Rattus norvegicus: one gene and its partners. The main gene of each other region encodes a partner of the protein of the gene in region 2 in a complex. Links are inferred from orthologs where the notes say so. Each region holds a gene or a part of one and is shown on either strand. Other genes may lie near its edges.

What was found.
Region 1: Polr3f (region 2) and Polr3k share a complex: the UniProt entries of both Homo sapiens proteins name them as parts of the RNA polymerase III complex. The link is inferred for Rattus norvegicus from reciprocal best matches to the Homo sapiens genes POLR3F and POLR3K.
Region 3: Polr3f (region 2) and Crcp share a complex: the UniProt entries of both Homo sapiens proteins name them as parts of the RNA polymerase III complex. The link is inferred for Rattus norvegicus from reciprocal best matches to the Homo sapiens genes POLR3F and CRCP.
Region 4: Polr3f (region 2) and Polr3g share a complex: the UniProt entries of both Homo sapiens proteins name them as parts of the RNA polymerase III complex. The link is inferred for Rattus norvegicus from reciprocal best matches to the Homo sapiens genes POLR3F and POLR3G.

The regions. Positions count from the first base shown.
Region 1 is NC_086021.1:189,358,814-189,363,174, reverse strand, and holds the start of Polr3k (DNA-directed RNA polymerase III subunit RPC10), read right to left. Parts: upstream 2,827-4,361; 5' UTR 2,763-2,826; coding exon 2,652-2,762; exon of another isoform or gene 2,650-2,651; intron 1,443-2,649; coding exon 1,355-1,442; intron 1-1,354. UniProt on the Homo sapiens protein: Core component of RNA polymerase III (Pol III) which synthesizes small non-coding RNAs using the four ribonucleoside triphosphates as substrates. Can mediate Pol I proofreading of the nascent RNA transcript.
Region 2 is NC_086021.1:152,368,277-152,371,837, reverse strand, and holds part of Polr3f (DNA-directed RNA polymerase III subunit RPC6), read right to left. Parts: intron 2,736-3,561; coding exon 2,668-2,735; intron 2,244-2,667; exon of another isoform or gene 2,136-2,243; intron 2,017-2,135; coding exon 1,949-2,016; intron 1,296-1,948; coding exon 1,183-1,295; intron 1-1,182. UniProt on the Homo sapiens protein: DNA-dependent RNA polymerase catalyzes the transcription of DNA into RNA using the four ribonucleoside triphosphates as substrates.
Region 3 is NC_086030.1:32,292,933-32,297,084, forward strand, and holds the start of Crcp (DNA-directed RNA polymerase III subunit RPC9), read right to left. Parts: upstream 2,836-4,152; 5' UTR 2,822-2,835; coding exon 2,814-2,821; intron 1-2,813. UniProt on the Homo sapiens protein: DNA-dependent RNA polymerase catalyzes the transcription of DNA into RNA using the four ribonucleoside triphosphates as substrates.
Region 4 is NC_086020.1:13,718,967-13,723,252, reverse strand, and holds the start of Polr3g (DNA-directed RNA polymerase III subunit RPC7), read left to right. Parts: upstream 1-1,465; 5' UTR 1,466-2,115; intron 2,116-4,286. Other genes in the region: acyl-coenzyme A thioesterase MBLAC2, read right to left, coding at 1,012-1,465. UniProt on the Homo sapiens protein: DNA-dependent RNA polymerase catalyzes the transcription of DNA into RNA using the four ribonucleoside triphosphates as substrates.

The DNA of each region.
Region 1 (4,361 bases), about 37 Mb from region 2:
TTTAAATTTATCAAACAAATCAAGATGTAAACATTTACTTTTTAATACCTCCAGTTGCAAATATCAACCCCCCCCCCTAATTTTTTATAATTATTTTATGTGCATGTTTTGCCTTTGGGTAGTCTGTGCACCACGTTCATGCAGTGTCCCTGGATGCAAGTAGAGGGTATTAGATCACCTGAAAGTACAAGTACAGAAGGTCTGAGCTGCCAGGTGGAAGTTGGGAAGGAAACCCAGTCCCATGCTCTCAACCACTGAAATCCTACCCCACAGCTATTTATCGGTTGACAGAATGGCTGAGCCAGGGTCTCAAAAAGCCCAGATAAGCACTGAGCCTTCTGCCTCCACTCAGAGAGCACCAGAATCGTAACTGGAATCATAAGCTTGAGCAACCATCCTTCGTCCACAGTTATAATTTTTTTAAATCCATGTAATAAAAAATAAAACGAAATGAAAATAAAAGACTAGGGCTGATCATTTTCTCAGTGTTGGTATTTGAAAATACATACAACACAATTTTCATGAGAAGTCCACACCCACTAGAGCATGGATCCCCCCTTCCCAACAACTATATATAAATCAATGCTGAAATTTTTTGTAATGAACTCTAAATTTGCTTCAAAAAGAGAATATTTGCCAGATTTATTTTTTAATTATACTTGTCCACATCGGACTTGAGACTCTAAATGAAACAACGGTTCAGGTATCACTATAGTAACTTTGCTTTAAAGAATCCTTGAAAGAATCTACTTTTAAAAAAATGTTATTACAGCCAGGTGTCAGTGGCAGATACTTTAGTACCAGCATGTGGGAGGCAGACAGGTGGATCTCCGAGGTCAAGACACTCAGAGCTACACAGTGAAACCAGGTCTCAAAAAAACAAAATCAATTAACAACAACAAAAATGTAAAAGACTTTAGAGTGCCTACACTGTAATTAAAACACATCACCAAAATATTTCATGCACTAGCTATTTGATATTACATTGTTATTTACATCTTCTTAAGTTCTTTTACACTTGTGCACGCCCATGTGTGCATGGAGGGTGGTACAAAATCTTCCCATGAGTCAGTTCTCTCCTACTATCTGGGCTCCAAGAATCAAACTCAGGCTAACAGATCTGGCAACAAGTGCTTTTACCAGGGTATCTTGCTGGCCCTAATAACAGACAGGACTGCATTATAATACTAAGTTTATTATTAGTATTAAACACCGAGGGCTGGAAATACAGCTTTCTGGGTTCCAACACAAGCACCACACACACAAACTAGCGAAACAATATAAATATAAAATATAATAATAAGTAATAACAAACAAGGTTGAGTCACTGGCTCTGTTACGGGAAAATCCTCACCTGCAGTAGAGTCCACATTCTCCCAGGCAGCTGCTCCACCAAGCACATCATCCACTTCTTTTAGCTTTGGATACTTTCGGTTTGTTACCTAACAGACACAAGCCACCAGATTGGAAGTAATTGTACAGTTTTACAAGTCGGTCACTAAGCCACAACTCCCTCCAGCATTTCCTCTACAAAATTTGTCTTCTTCAAAGAGCAGTGTGAGTCACTAAAATGTAGGGGTTTTGTGACTCGGATGTTCCTCCAAACAGAACAGAGGTTCTAGAGGTTCAGACCTCTAGAGACCGAAGGAAACACCAGACAGAACTGAAAGGAAAAAACAGCCTAGTAAAACCTTGCTCTTCTCTCATACCCCTAGGACACCTAATAATCCAACAGGAAAGACAGACAAATGAAGTCACTTAGCTGGGTATACCAGCACCCCAGGTCACATTTGGATGCTTTCCTATGTTTATCAGGCATCCCTGGAAATTAGAAATTCTGTCACAATTCATCTTACCACAAATCCTGACTCTAAACCCCTACCACACAGCTCTAATGTGCAAACATTAGGAACGAGGAGTCACCAAGGCCCAGTGCTGCACAACTGCAGTCACTGAACTAAGGCACGGAGGTAAAGAGGAACGGGAATTAAGGTACACAAAACACCGAGGGCTGGAAACACAGCTTGCTGGGTTCCAACACAAGCACTACACACACAAAGTAGCAACAACGATATAAAACATTAGAAGACAATGAATTCTGTGAAAACCTTAAGGGAATGAGGATAAACAGAAAGAACTGGGTTTGGCTTTTCTGTGCTCTGTGTGTGCTATGCAGCCCAGATGAGCCTTGAACCTATTCTCCTGCCGAGTGCTAGAATTATAGGTGCACAAACAGCCGCACGGGCTGACATTTAAATAAGGCAGCCATTATTTTAAAAGAGGAGAGGGAGAGAGAAACAGGGAGGCACACATGCACCAGAGACGGGGGAAGAGGGAGACGAGAACGAGAAGTGCGTCACTCTGCGTAGTTATTCAGGGAAGACCGACTCGGGCGGAGGGAAGAACCTGACAGCACTGCGTGCAAGAAGATTCTCAGGAATCAAGATAGGGGATGGGAGCAAACGAGCAACTAAAGAACCCGAGGATTTGAAATCAGAGGTGAGGAGCGGACTGGAATCTGCGAGGTCCAGCGTAGGGGGATGAACTAAAATTCGCACAATTTCTGAGCGGGCAGCGGGGAGGTCCGAGCGCGCCGACGCCTGCCCTGGGCCCCGCGGACCGCAGGGAGAGCTCCGGCCTGTGGACCTCACCTTGCGGGTGATGTTATGGACGTACGGGCACGTGTTGCAGGCGAAGCGGTGACAGCGCTGCCCCTCCTCCACAATGAGGCCGTTCCCGCAGCCCGGGCAGAACAGCAGCATTGCTCAGCTCCCACACGGCGGCTCTGTGTGGCGCTGCCGAGGTTCAGGCGCCCAATCTGAAGCCGTCTCCCTTCCTCCGTTACGGGCAACCGGCGATCGGCAACACGTTCCCGGTAGGCACTGCGGCGGGCAGCCTCGCGCATGCCATTGGTCACCGCCGATGACCCTTCCCCATCCAGCCAATTGCATGCTGTCTGCACTCGCTGTCCGTGTAGCTTCTGCGCGTGCGCACATCTCCCTAGCTGAAACGCAAACTAATGGTGCCGGCAGATGGCAGCACCTGGGGAGCCTGATGGTGGTGAGCCGGACTGGGTGATGAGGTGCTGCTGAGCTGCAGTATCTAGGCCTGGAAACTTCTACCCTCTGTAAAATCTAATTCAGGCCTAGAAGGTTTTCAGCTTCTGAGACTCACTGCGGAATAAGCGCACCCCTTCTAGTTCTGAGCGCTGGTTGGCTGGTTCAACTCAGCTGTTCCGGCTCAAACTGATTGAATTTGGCTTCTCTCTCTCAGCCTTTCCTCAATTGCTCTGCTTGGCCTCATACTAACTTTGACAATCTGTTCTAATCTTCTGGCACATTCTGTCTTCATCTGTGTCTAGTTTGTTCTCTGTAAAAACTGTCCCAGGAAAACTGCCTCCTTCTCTCTCATGAGAGTTGGGCATACCCTATTCTGTACAAAAAAACAAAACAAAACAAAACAAAAAAAACAAAAAAAAAACTCTCTAATTCCCCACTTTGTCGGACACTCAAACATCACTTTTAAAAAAAATGATTTATTTATTTAAAGTACACTGTAGCTATCCTCAGACACACCAGAAGAGGGCATCAGATCTCATTACAGACGAGATGAGATGTGGTTACTGGGATTTGAACTCAGGACTTCTGGAAGAACAGTCAGTGAACCACTGAGCCATATCTCCAGCCCTAGACATCATTTTCAAATATGGGTGATACCTTCTACAATCTAACCTGACCTTCATTGTTGGGCATTAAAGGAGCATTCTAAGGGCGTGTCTGTATTCCAGCCAGCGGGATTAAAGGTTGTGTGCCAAGGGCCGAGTCACACCACAACTAGAAACAGGTTTTTCCAGTAAACACAATCCCAGAGTTCATGGTATGATAAAGAAAAAGCCTGCAACAATGAACCTCCAGCTTCCAACCTTAGTCCTGAAGAGCTGATCTAAAACAGCTGGATGGTAGGTATTCCAGTAATAGCCTGAGGTCTACCATGTAGATTCTGGAGGCCCATGCGCAACACATGCACACTTTTCCTAGTCACTTGTGTCTCCTTGTTCCCAAATATTTGCAGGTGAAGAGGCTAAAGCATGGAGCCCCAGCTCAAGTCTCTGTTGGTTAACTCTGCATGTTTCTTTGAGGGATTCTTGGGGGGATAATTTAGGGGCTCTGATCATTATTTTACTAGGAACTGAGAAGCAGCTCAGTACAGGTGGGAGACCCATCATTATCTTTGCAAGGATTCTTGACAGAAGTGTGAAGAATGCAAACTACAACCCATGCCCAGAACAGGACTTCAACAACATCCCTCACAGGATGATCCAGAAAATAAAGTTGAAAGTCAGAGGCGATGTGCCCCAGGCA
Region 2 (3,561 bases):
TTTAAGCACATTTTCCTTTGCCTTTCATTTTATAGCCACCATTCATTTCTACAAGTACTTAGGTCAGTCTCTATTCCTCTAACCCCTCGTGGTGTGGTTTCCAAAATTCTGTCACAGTTATTTTAATTTTTAAAATTAATTACTTCATGTGTGGGTATTGGTGTACATCTGGGCTATTACCCACAAAGGCTAGAAGAGGGAACTGAACCTGGGTCCTCTAAAGAGTAGTCAGTGCTAACTGCTGAGCCATATCTAACCACTACTTTCTGCATTCCACTCAGGCATCCCCTAATGTCTAAGTAACTTTTAAAATACTAAAACACAATGCAGATGATTGGGCATGGTAACATACACCTGGAATCCCATACTCAGGTGGTTAAGGCAGGAAAGATCCTGTATTCAAGACATTCAAGACCAGCCCTGGTTATATTATCAGACCTCTCTCTCAAAATAAAATAACACAGTACAATTAAGATTACTCCGTGCATTGTCTATAGGTTTCAACACATGCTTAAGGCTTTTGTTTTATAGAACAATTTAGCTGCCCCAAAACATCTCCTGTGTTTCATCTTTTCTACGTTCCCTAGGTCTAGCAAACATTTAACTTTTTACTGTCTTTCCCACAATGTCACCTAGTTGGAATCAGTGTTGCCTTCTCAATATGATTTCTCACACCAAGCAATAAGCATTAAGACCACTCTATGTCTTCACAATAGGTCATCTTTTTTATCACTGAATATTCCAGATAGAGAGAGATAGAAGGAAAAACACGTAAGAGACACAGAACAGGAATCTTTCTCTGACTTGGTCATTAACATACTCCAAGTGCAAAGCAGTACCTCTCTGTCATACTCCAAACAACAAACACTCGTTGAGTGACATAATGTGCTAGGAAACAACACAAAAACTAGGAAAGGTACTCAAGGCTCCAGACTCTATGTTTTCTATAGAGCACAGGACGAAGTAGGAATAGGTGAGACATCAAGAGTCCAGAAGGCAGCAAGTTAAAGTCAGCACAACAGGAGCTAAATTTTAGTCTTTAAAACAAAACAAAGTCCCAAAACCAACAACAACAAAAACATGTCTTAAATCCCACATAAATTAATGAATGAGAGGCTAACAAAGCTGGCACGGCTGCCTCAAGTGAAATCCACAATGGAACTTAGAAAGCCGACTACTCACTGCTACAGACTTCACAGCTTTAATAAGCTTTTTACTTTCCAAATTCTTGAGAATTTTGTTGATTTCTGTTAATGGCAAGTTGCTTTTGTACCGAATATCTCTGCTCCATATTCCTGTAAGAAAGTAGGAAAGCTGACAGCACTTCATTTAATATAAAGTTTAGAACTGTTCTCAGAAACTAAAACCCGAGAAACAAAACAAAACACACAACTGGGATAAAGAAAGACTACAAGAGCCAGTCATAAAGTGTCTGCTTTACATTCTAACTGAACATTTCTCAGAATCTTGGTGTGGTTTGTTTGTTTGGGTTTTCTTGTTTTGTGTTGTTTGTTTTTTGAGAGGGCCTCACTATGCAGCGGCTATACAGACCATCCTGGGGTGTGCACACAGTGGGGAGGAATACAAAAATTTAGCTGTTTCAATGCAGCATGTACACCTACTATTTAAACAACATTCTATTTGTAAGACAGAAAAAAAAAAAGCTATGATTCTTACATTCAATAAATACCCATTGTGGGAATTTATGAGTTTTCTTTCAAACAAAGAAAGTTGTACACGAAGAAAGAGACTATGTATCAAACATAAATGCTTAGCTTCATGTAGTAACATGCTTGCAATCCCAGCAATCAGGAAGACAAGGCAAGAAGATACTGAGTAGGAAAGCCTGGTCTACATGATGGGACCCTCTCTTAAAAAATAAAATGAACAGAGCAACACAACTTTAGGTCTAGACCTAAAGACAAAGCATCGCCCTCCACATGCTCACCTTTATTCCCTGCATCCTCTATGATTTGGTAGACTAGCTTTTCCTGGTTATCGGACCCCTTCATTTTACTGCAGGGAATAAAGCAGAGTAAAAAAGGAAAAATTGTAGGCTATGTTATCATCTGCATGACTACTTAATTAGCAGACAAGGCTATCACACTGACTGATTTAGCAAAAGAAGGGCTTACCTTAAAAAGAATGAAAAAGAGCTGTGTGTACCAATATGAAAAGATGTCCAAAGTACAATAAATTAAAAAAACAAGTTACAGGACACTATGGATATAGCATGATCCAGTCTTAAAAAAAAGAAAAGGAAAAAAGCGATAACATATAAATATAGAATCGCCCATGAATATTTAAATCTATCTAGAAGAAATTACCTAGAGCAGTTACTCTGAGAAACTGAAGCACAGGACAAAAGGCAGGGGTGACGCGTTTACATCAGTTTCTTCTGTGTCTTTCAACATATAGTCTAAATTGTCTTTAACCTCATCATCACCCTGCCTCAGCCCCCATGTGTCAAGTCTATAGGTGTGTACCACATACTGAGCTACATTACGTACATACAGTCTCACATCGCTCAGGCTGGCCCTGAACTTTCTGCCCTGCTTCCCAAGTGCAGGCATATTGGTGTGTACCACAATACCCGTTACAATGTTACCAATTACTTTTGTAATAAACAAATTTTTCTAAAAATTAAAAAAATAGTTGCTTACTTACCCAGCATTCTGAGAATCCTTTATTCTATATAAAAGGCCTGTATTACTCCGTAAAAGATCCAACTGACCCTAAAGTGTTTTAAAATAGAAAATTGTAATCAATTACTCTGGAAATATATCAATTCTGATGGCAAGTGTTACCACAGTTTTAAATGTGTTGATTATACCCACTAAACTGTTCTGCCTCCCACGCTTGTCAGTTCTTCATCTGAGACTGGGGATTTGCTTACACACCTCAAACAAGGTATTTTTAAAAACTAATATAAGGATAGTTCAAGCAAGAGATACTAATAGTGTCCCACATACTAAGTTGGCTTTGTTATTTGGCCAAGGCACAAACATGTTTTTAAAACAGTCTATTGTATTCCTTAGTCAGGGGTGATGGTGGTGATGGTGTGGCACACGCCTTTAATCCCAGGGCTCAGGAGGCAGATGCAGGCAGATCTGAGTTTTAGGCCAGCCTAGTCTATAGAGTGAGTTCCTGGACAGCCAAGGCTATACAGAGAAACTCTGTCTCAGGGGAAAAATTATTCTATTTCTTAATGTATTTTGCTAGCATATATGTCTGTGCACCATGTGTATACAATGCTCATGGAGGCCATAAGAAGGCATTGAGGGCTGGAGAGATGGCTCAGTGGCTAAGACTGCTCTTCCTGTTCAATTCTCAGCAACCACATGGTGGCTCACAACCATCTGTAATGGGGATCTGAGGTCCTCTTCTGGTGTGTCTGAAGAGAGCGACAGTGTACTCATATACATGAAATAAATAAATAAATAAATAAATAAATAAATAAATAAATAAGACAAACCATCCTGTATGTGGGTATTAGAAATCCAACTCAGGTTTCTGTAAGAGCAGCAAATGATCTTAACCTGGGGGATGAGGAGACAGCTC
Region 3 (4,152 bases), on a different chromosome or scaffold from region 2:
CATAGCCCTGAGCCCCATCCCCAGCACTGCATAAACAGGGCAAGGTATCATATACCAATAGGAACAGCACTGGGAGAGTAGAGGCAGGAGGATGAGAAAAGCTTAAGGTCCTCCTGAGTACATATCAAGTTCAAGGCTAACCCTGGATAACATGAGACCCTACCGTAGGAAAAAAGGAAAAAGTAGGTAACAGACTGTCTAATGACTGGAAAGGAAAACAAGATACATTTTAATGTAAGCAACCTGACAAAAAAAGGTCAGAAATGTTTTTGAGGAACCGCCATCATAAAAATGAGTAGTGACTGAGAATACATGCAAAGGAAGTGCAAAGGAAGTGTCCCAAGATGAAGCACTAAGGCGTTCAACATTTAGACAGCAAAGGAGGAGGAGGAAGGAGAAAAGGACACCAAGCAGCAAGATGTAGGAGAGCCGGGGCGTGTTAGAGAGCTGACACTTTCCACGGTTTCTGACACCAGCTACCCAGAGATGGAGAAAGCTTAACCAGACTGAGCCTGAGCTACCCAGTCAGAGACCCCCATCTCAGAGACCGAATGGCTAATCTAATGTGGCTTGAGGTGAAGACAGGGCATCAGAATTCCATCATCCTCAGCTACATAGCCAAGTTCAAAGCCAGCCTGGGCTACTTATGACTCTGTCTCCAAAAAAAAAAAGTCTGACCAACTATAGTATCTATATAACAATTGAGCAGAAGACAAAGAAACATGAATAACAACACAATTTAGGTATGTCAACTGTGTACATATAAAGTCCGCAGGTGGAGTATATTCAAAAACTTCATTTGCCCATCAAGAAATATTTTCTTTATGGAAAAATAAACTGTTAGGGTGGCTTTGTTGTTGGTAGAGTGACTGTCTAGCATGCTCAGGTCCCTTCCATCCCAAACACCACGATATGATAATGGGGTGTGTGTGGCTTAGTGGTAAAGTACCTGTCTAGCATCCCTAAGTTCTATCCCTAGCACCACCTAATAATAATAGTAGTAATAATAATAATAGTGATAATAATGTTGTGGAAGGTGTGTGTTAAGCATGTGCAAGACCGTGGGTACTGGAGCTGGAGAGATGGCTTAGTGGTTAAGAGCACTGACTATGGCTTGGGGATTTAGCTCAGTGGTAGAGCGCTTGCCTAGCAAGCGCAAGGCCCTGGGTTCGGTTCTCAGCTGGGGGGGGGGGGGGGACAGGACACAAAAAACAAAAAACCACTGACTGTTCTTCCAGAGGTCATGAGTTCAGTTCCCAGCTACCACATGGGGGCTCACAACCATCTGTAATGAGATCTGATGCCCTCTTCTGGTGTGTCTGAAGACAGCTACAGTGTATTTGTATATAATAAATAAATATATCTTTTTTTTTCTTTTCTTGTCTAGCAAGCGCTCTACCACTGAGCTAAATCCCCAACCCCATAAATAAATAAATCTTTAAAGGAAAAAAAAAAAGACCGTGGGTACCGTTCCCAACACCACCAAATGAGGAGGAAGAGAAAGAAGAAGAGGCTATCCCAACAACAGCTGGAGAAATATCTCAGGAATTTGCCTAGTTGCCAGGTAGGAGTATTACATGCCTTTAGTCCATGCCTCCGAGGACAGAGGCAGGTGGATATCTGAGTTCAAGGCCAGCCTGGTCTAAAGAGCTTGTTCCAGGACAGCCAGTGCTCTACAGTGAAACTTTGTCTGGGGGGAGGGGGAGAAAACCTTGCCTGCTTTCCTGGTTAATCTTAACTGTCAACTTGAAACAGCCTAGAATCCTCTAAAGAAGCCTCAATGATAAACTGTCTTTTACCAAGTTGTTCTATGGGCGTGTCCACGAGGGACTGTCCCGATTATTAAATGATGCAGGAGGGTACCGCCTGGCCAACTGATGGTGGCACAGGCCTTTAATCCCAGCACTTGGGAGGGAGAGGCAGGCCTATCTCTGGGAGTTGAAGGATAGCCTGATCGACAGAGCTAGTTCCAGGAAAGCCACGACTACGCAAGCCCCAACACCCCCCCCCAAATAAATAGAAATAAAAAATAAAAGGGATGAGGGGTTATACAGACCGCGGCAGGTGCCACCATCCATGGACTGCTTCATAAAGAAGTTAGAAAACACAGAGAGTAAACCAGAGAGAGTTCTTGAACTGGTCTGAAGCTTCAGTTTCCTGTCTGAGTTCTTGCCCTGACTTCCCTCCATAATGAACTGTGTCCTGGAAGTTTAAGATGTAATAAACCCTTTCTACCCCTAGATTACTTTTGGTCATGGTGTTTGTCACAGTAACTGAAAGAAAACTAGCACAGCCAGTACTTTCACGACCCTGGGTACCAATTTCCAAAAGAACACGGCGATAACGGATGGCGATGCAGGTCAGTGGCAAAGGCTTTGCCTAGCAAAGTCCTGGGTACCATTTCCACCATTACAAAACAATGATGGCGGTGCTGATGGCTGGGGATCTGACTCAGTGGTAGAGTGTTTCCCCGAGCACATGCAGAGCCCACATCACAAGATGATTGTGACTGGCACGCATCTCAGGGTCACACTACTTCCAGAGCACGTGCAAGGTCTTGGGTTTCATTCCCAGAACCAGAAGAAAGAGAAAAAATAAAACCCCTCTCTATCCTTCCAACATTCCCCTCCCCAAAAGATACCGGAGGAGAGCGGGTTCCAACACCAGCAGGGTCCCTCCCCTGCCGCCCCACCTCCATGCACTTCCGGTCCGTGCACCCCGCCCACCCGCCCTGCTCGCGGGTCCGGAGGTCTAGCCGCCAGCCGCCTCACAGTCCCCAGCTGATTCTGCTTTCCCCTGGACGTGTCGCTTACACTTCCATGTTGCCTCTGCCTCGTCGTACACAACCGCTGGAAGAGAAGAACCTCACGTTACGCCAGCTCTGCTCTGCTCACCGTTTCTGTGTGTGTGCCGCAAGGCACTCTGGGACCGCCGTGGTGCATGCCGGGATCGCTGCAGGGCTCGCCCGGATCCTCCTTAATTCTAGGTGTTCCTACCTTGGTCTAATTTCAGCTTGTCGGGTGTTTTCATAGTGTAGGTTTTGTTAGGGTTTGCCTTGGCCACGTTAAAAATCCCTAAACCAGGCATGCAGCCCCACACCTGTAATCCTAGCACTAGAGAGGCCGAGACAGGAGAATTGTCATGAGTTTCTGGCCAGCCTGACCTACCTAATTACTTTCAAGCCATCCGAAGCTGTTTGAGACCTTGTGTTTAAAAAAACAAAAAACAGAAGCCAGGTATGGTCGCACAATCCTCTAATTCCAGCAAGGGGGAAAGAGGGAGGCAGAGAAACCCAGTCTCAAAAGACAGAGACAGAGCTGGAGAGATAGTTTAAGCACTTAGGAGGCTGAGGCAGGGGGAATGCCTTGAGTTTGAAGACAGTCTGGGCAACATGGTGAGTTCTAGTCAATTTAGACTACGTAGAGATCCTTTTCCCCATACAACCGTTAAAATTTGGGATGGGGAAGACAGATTTTCATTACTTAGCCTTTCAAACTCAGAGATCTGCCTGCCTCTGCCTCCCAGTGCTGAGATTAAAGGTGTGAGCCCCCACTGCTCAGCCATGTTAAAATGGTTTGCGGGTGATTGTGTTTGAGTTTTGTTTTGTTTTGTTTTTTGGTAAGTGGGGGGTGGTGTCTGGTATGATGACACATACCTGTAATCCCTCCACTTTGGAGATGGAGGCGAGAAAGTCAGTTTTTCATAATCCTCTTCAGCTACATGGGGAGTTTGAGGCCACCTGAGGCTACATGAGAACCCTGTCTCATAAAAACCAGTGTGTGTGTGTGTGTGTGTGTGTGTGTGTGTGTGTGTGTGTCCCACAATGGTGTTCATGGTGTTAGTCGGTCAACCATCTTACAATGATTGCCTCCCCCCTCAGGCACTGGTGATTCAGACATGAATAATACACACTCTCCATGCTAGCTGAGAACCCAGTAAGGGGACCAGTGCAGGGCATAAATCACTATGACACACTCTGTTTAGACTCTAGCATAGACAGGAGAATGACTAACATGGACAAAGAGGCGTCCCAAAGCCAGGAGTGTTTGAGGTGTGTGGAAAGAGGGTCGTTCAAAGCCAAGGCTTCAGAGATAGACTCATAGAAGACAGGCTACTGCCTTGGAGAGCCCCACCACAAAATGATTCAGAGAG
Region 4 (4,286 bases), on a different chromosome or scaffold from region 2:
GGCACAGATGTAGCAGACCTGCAGCTCAGTCTCCACAGCTGCCTTGTCTGGCCTCAGTGAGACAGGATGCACCTAATCTGGCAGAGACTTGATGTGCTGGGGGTGGGGGAAGGGATACCCAGGGGGCCTCCACCCTCCCAGAAGGGGAGACGGGATGAGGGAGTCTCTGTGAGGGAGGGAGCAGGAGGGGGGAGTAGCTTTTGGGATGTAAATAAATAAATCCTAAGGCAAAAAATATAAAATTGATATACCAAGTATTGCTGTTGTCGCTAACCAGTTCAATTAGTGCAGTCCTGCATGGGGAGAAGGGGATTGGGACCCTACTCTATCTTGCTCCATTTTATCAATTTCTTAGGACCAAGAGAATGAAGTCTGCATTAATTAATGCACACACTTTATCCATGGGAAACAACTCCCTTATTGATCGTTCTTAGGCCTCGCTCTCATCCAGACCAGATAGCTGTCATAATTCTACGTTCATGTCCACCATCAAGCCTTTTTTCTTTTTGAGAGGCAATAAGCAAACAAATCCATCTGAAAGGTAAGGATGGACGAAAGCTCTCTAAGTCTACAGGTGAGACTGAGGCACTCTGCGGTGAGCAGTGCGCAGGCAGCAGAAGTCAGCAGTTTTCAGAGCACAGAGCCTAACACTCTCCACAAGGTGCCATATCTTAAAAGCCTACTCGTTACAAAAGCTGGAAATGTTCAACTGGTACTTGGGAAAAGAATGGAATATCTCCAGTCACAAGTCTCTGCAGTGTAACTACCGTAGCCGACTGACTGGGGATGGTGTGAGCTTTCAAATAAACAGCCACACAGTAGCAGCGCGCATCTCCTGGCAGAGAAGACTGAGTGGGCCTAGGCTCTGCCCAAGCTGGCTTTCACGCAGCAAAGGGTGAGTCAGAGTATTCCCGCACGGTAGCCCAACAGTGCCACGGAGGTCTGCAACAAGCTGTACACGCTCGCCAAGCCCCTCCCTCAGAGACAGCGCGCGCCCCCGGGACCTATTACCATCCTGCAGAATGAGGGTGGGTTGCACTGCCTGCACTCGGAATTGCCTGGCCCTCCAGCCAGGGCTGGGCGCCCGCACCACCTCGCTGTCAGAGAGCCAGGTCACGGTCTCAAAGTTGTCCCCGCGAGCCAGGGCCTCGGCTTCGGCGCGGTGCACAGCCACCTGGTCGAACTGATAGAGCCCGCCGGAGTGATCAAAGTGCACGTGGGTGGCCACGGCCAGCAGCGGCCGACGTCCTGCATCCTCTTTGGCACCACAATCCTGCAAGAGGCCGGAGGAGTAGAGGTACTCCGGGAGGCTGCGTAGCCCCAGGCCCGTGTCGATCACCACGTCCTGCTCCGAGCCGCGCACCAGCCAGATGTTGGCCCGGTTGCCTGACTCGTAGAACCGTTCTTGAATCCAGAAGATGCCATCGCCCAGAGACTTGTGGGCATACCACTCGAGTGCCGACATGCCGATGCGCAGGGGTGCGGCCGGGCAAGGTGGGTGTGCCTCCCACAGGCAGTCCAGGACTCGCCGCTGCTGCAGTGAGCGAAGAGCTACTCTCAGCTCCGGAGGAGGCGCGATCGAGGGGCGGGGATGCGGAAGGGAGCGCGGATAGGACGCAGCGACACTGCCCAGATCGCCTGTTCCTCGCCCTCCCGTCCAAGCCGCAGAGCGCAAAGACTGCACCCCAGCTGCCGCAGCTTCTGCAGCTGCAGCACCAAGGCGGTGACACAGGCCGCTGAAGCGGGGCGGAGACACCGGGCAATGCTGCCCTGCTCGGGGTTCCGACTGCAGAGGCCTGGAGGGATGCGTGGGAAGAGACAGGACCGCCCCCACACGGGCCGCGGGCGCTGCGCACTCGTAGCGGGAGGCCAGAGTGAGGCCGAGCCAGTTGGAGGTTGACTACGGCGCCTGCCAAGGGCTAAAAAGCTCCTTTCCGGGGGTGTGGCCTCGTAGAGTGGGCGGGGCTTCCAGTGCGCTACCCTGAGCCGGAGCCGCGTGCGGTGAGGTTCTCGCTGTTCCGGAGGTGGAATCTGCTGCTCCTTGCTGGCGCGACTGCCAGCTTTCCTGCCACCATCGCTGCACAGTGTGCCCAAGCCTCGAGACTTGGTGAGAAGGTAACTGGAAACTATCCCGGACTGGGCTGGAGGTGAAGAGGGTAGAAGGGAGTTGATGGGGCACGTGGAGAACGTGGTGGTCCGATAATCTGGAGCCAAAATTCATCAAAGCCCCTCTGGAGTGACTTTGGGCTGTACCCCTACCTCCCAAAGCCTGCTGCTGCCGGCTTCCAAACCTTTAAAAGTTTTGGTAGCCAGATCTTCCAGCCTCACGCTGGAAGTTTATCCTTTTACAAGAGAAGACTTTGCAAATCCGGGGACTGTGGTTTTTGTTCATGTAAAGTTTGGCGGCAGTTTGGCTAATAAGGGCATACTTATCATCGCTTCTTTTTTCTTAACTGTTGGCACCTTTGATAGTGGGGAGAGGGGCTGGTGATAGAATTTTTCTTTAAGGAGATCCTAAATGCCCGTCATAGTTCTGGGTGTTTCCTTGCTCTTTGAAGAGAGCAGAAAAGGTTAGAGCTTAAGGCAAGGCAGAGATCACTTTGAGGGGACAGGGAAAGTGGATAATCACTGGGTGTGGCCTTGCAAGCAACCGAAATCACCCCCACTGTCAGTATCAAGTCCCTGTGCTTGCACCCCAACCATTAGCTACCGATGCATCTCTTTCAGATTCAGAAATTCCCTTGAGAATTTGACTAACCTTCAGAAATTATAAAGAGACCCACGGGGACAGCATTATCAAAGATAATTAGCAAAATCCTTCCTGTGGCACATAAGTCTTTCCTGGAGGGAGAGATGCATTCTTCCTACACTCCCAAACTCTCCAGTGGGTGTGGGAGCAGGTCGCTGCTCTTTTGAGTATTTTGCTAATCTCATCTATTATTCAATTATGCAATTGGGACCATTCTTAGCACTAGTGCCTGAACTAAATGATGTGTGACAAGCAGAAAACTGTTTAAAGAAAAGTCTGATTTGAGTTCTCAAGAATCTGAGGAAGCTGACACTTGTACACAAATACTTGTTAACTAATGCATCATGAATGCAAAAATTGGGTTCTGCCTAAGAAGGTGTTCTCCACAGAGAAACACAGTGCCCTCTTTACTTTATGCTTCTGCGGCAGAAGGGAGGCACTCGGTAAGATGGCACAGTGTTGTTCTGTGGTCATGAGCTCAGAAATAATTCAGTGATGATTATCCAGCTTGTGCCTAGCTCTAGAGGCCTTTGGACCTACAGTTTCTGATGACTCTTTTATTCTTTTCAATATGACTCTGTTTCTCATCTTAATTAAATTTATGCTCAGATAGTCCCAAATGACTAGTTTATCTGGCCTGGTTCCTGCTTCACTTTCACACCATCTGTCAGGCTCTGACAGGTTCTCCTGTCCGTGAACTCCATAAGCGCAGAGACATTATTTTGTTCACCTCTCTATTTCCAGCAGAGAGGATGGTTTGACCCAGAGGTAGGGTTAGGGTTAGGGCTTCATAAAGACGCCAGTGGATGGTCAAAGACTCTCCCTGGGGAGGCAGAAAACCAACAGTCAGTTACTTGGTGAGAAGCAGAAGTTAAATGTCCTGAGCTTTGTTAAACTGAAGAGAACAGTATATCGGAAGTGTAAAGATTTGCCTTCTATTAAATTGACAAGAGTTTGGTTGAGAATGATAGGAATCTGGACATAAAATGTCTAGCATGTTTCAAAGGGTCAGATGAGCAATGCTAAGGCCTGAGCTAATGCAGAAGAAAGGAGAAGACTAGGGAACACACAGCTAATGGTCATTCTTCAGAGAGATACTGTGACCTGGCTTTTGCTGTCTCCCCTGACCTCCAGCTAGTTGAACATTTACTCATCTCCTTAAATGTGTAAGGTTGTGTGTACACGAGGATGATACATTTAAGTCACAATCATAACTCATGACATTTTAGATCTAGGAAGAATTGTAGAGATGAACTCACCATTTTCCAGGTGGTTGTGTTTGGAGATGGTTAGGATAGACTTTGGTCTCTTGAATAACGCCCATTTTTAAATCTCTTGGAACAGATTCCAAATGGGAATTTTGAGGCAGCGTTCTGAGCTGGAAGGGGCAGTGCGAACTTGTCCATGTTGCATTTTAAATTTCAGATTTGGGGGCTGGAAAGATGGCTTAGCAACAAAGAGCTCATGTTACTCTTGTAGGGGATCAGAGTTCAGTTCCTAACAACCACACCAAGTGGCTCACAAGCACCGTTGACCT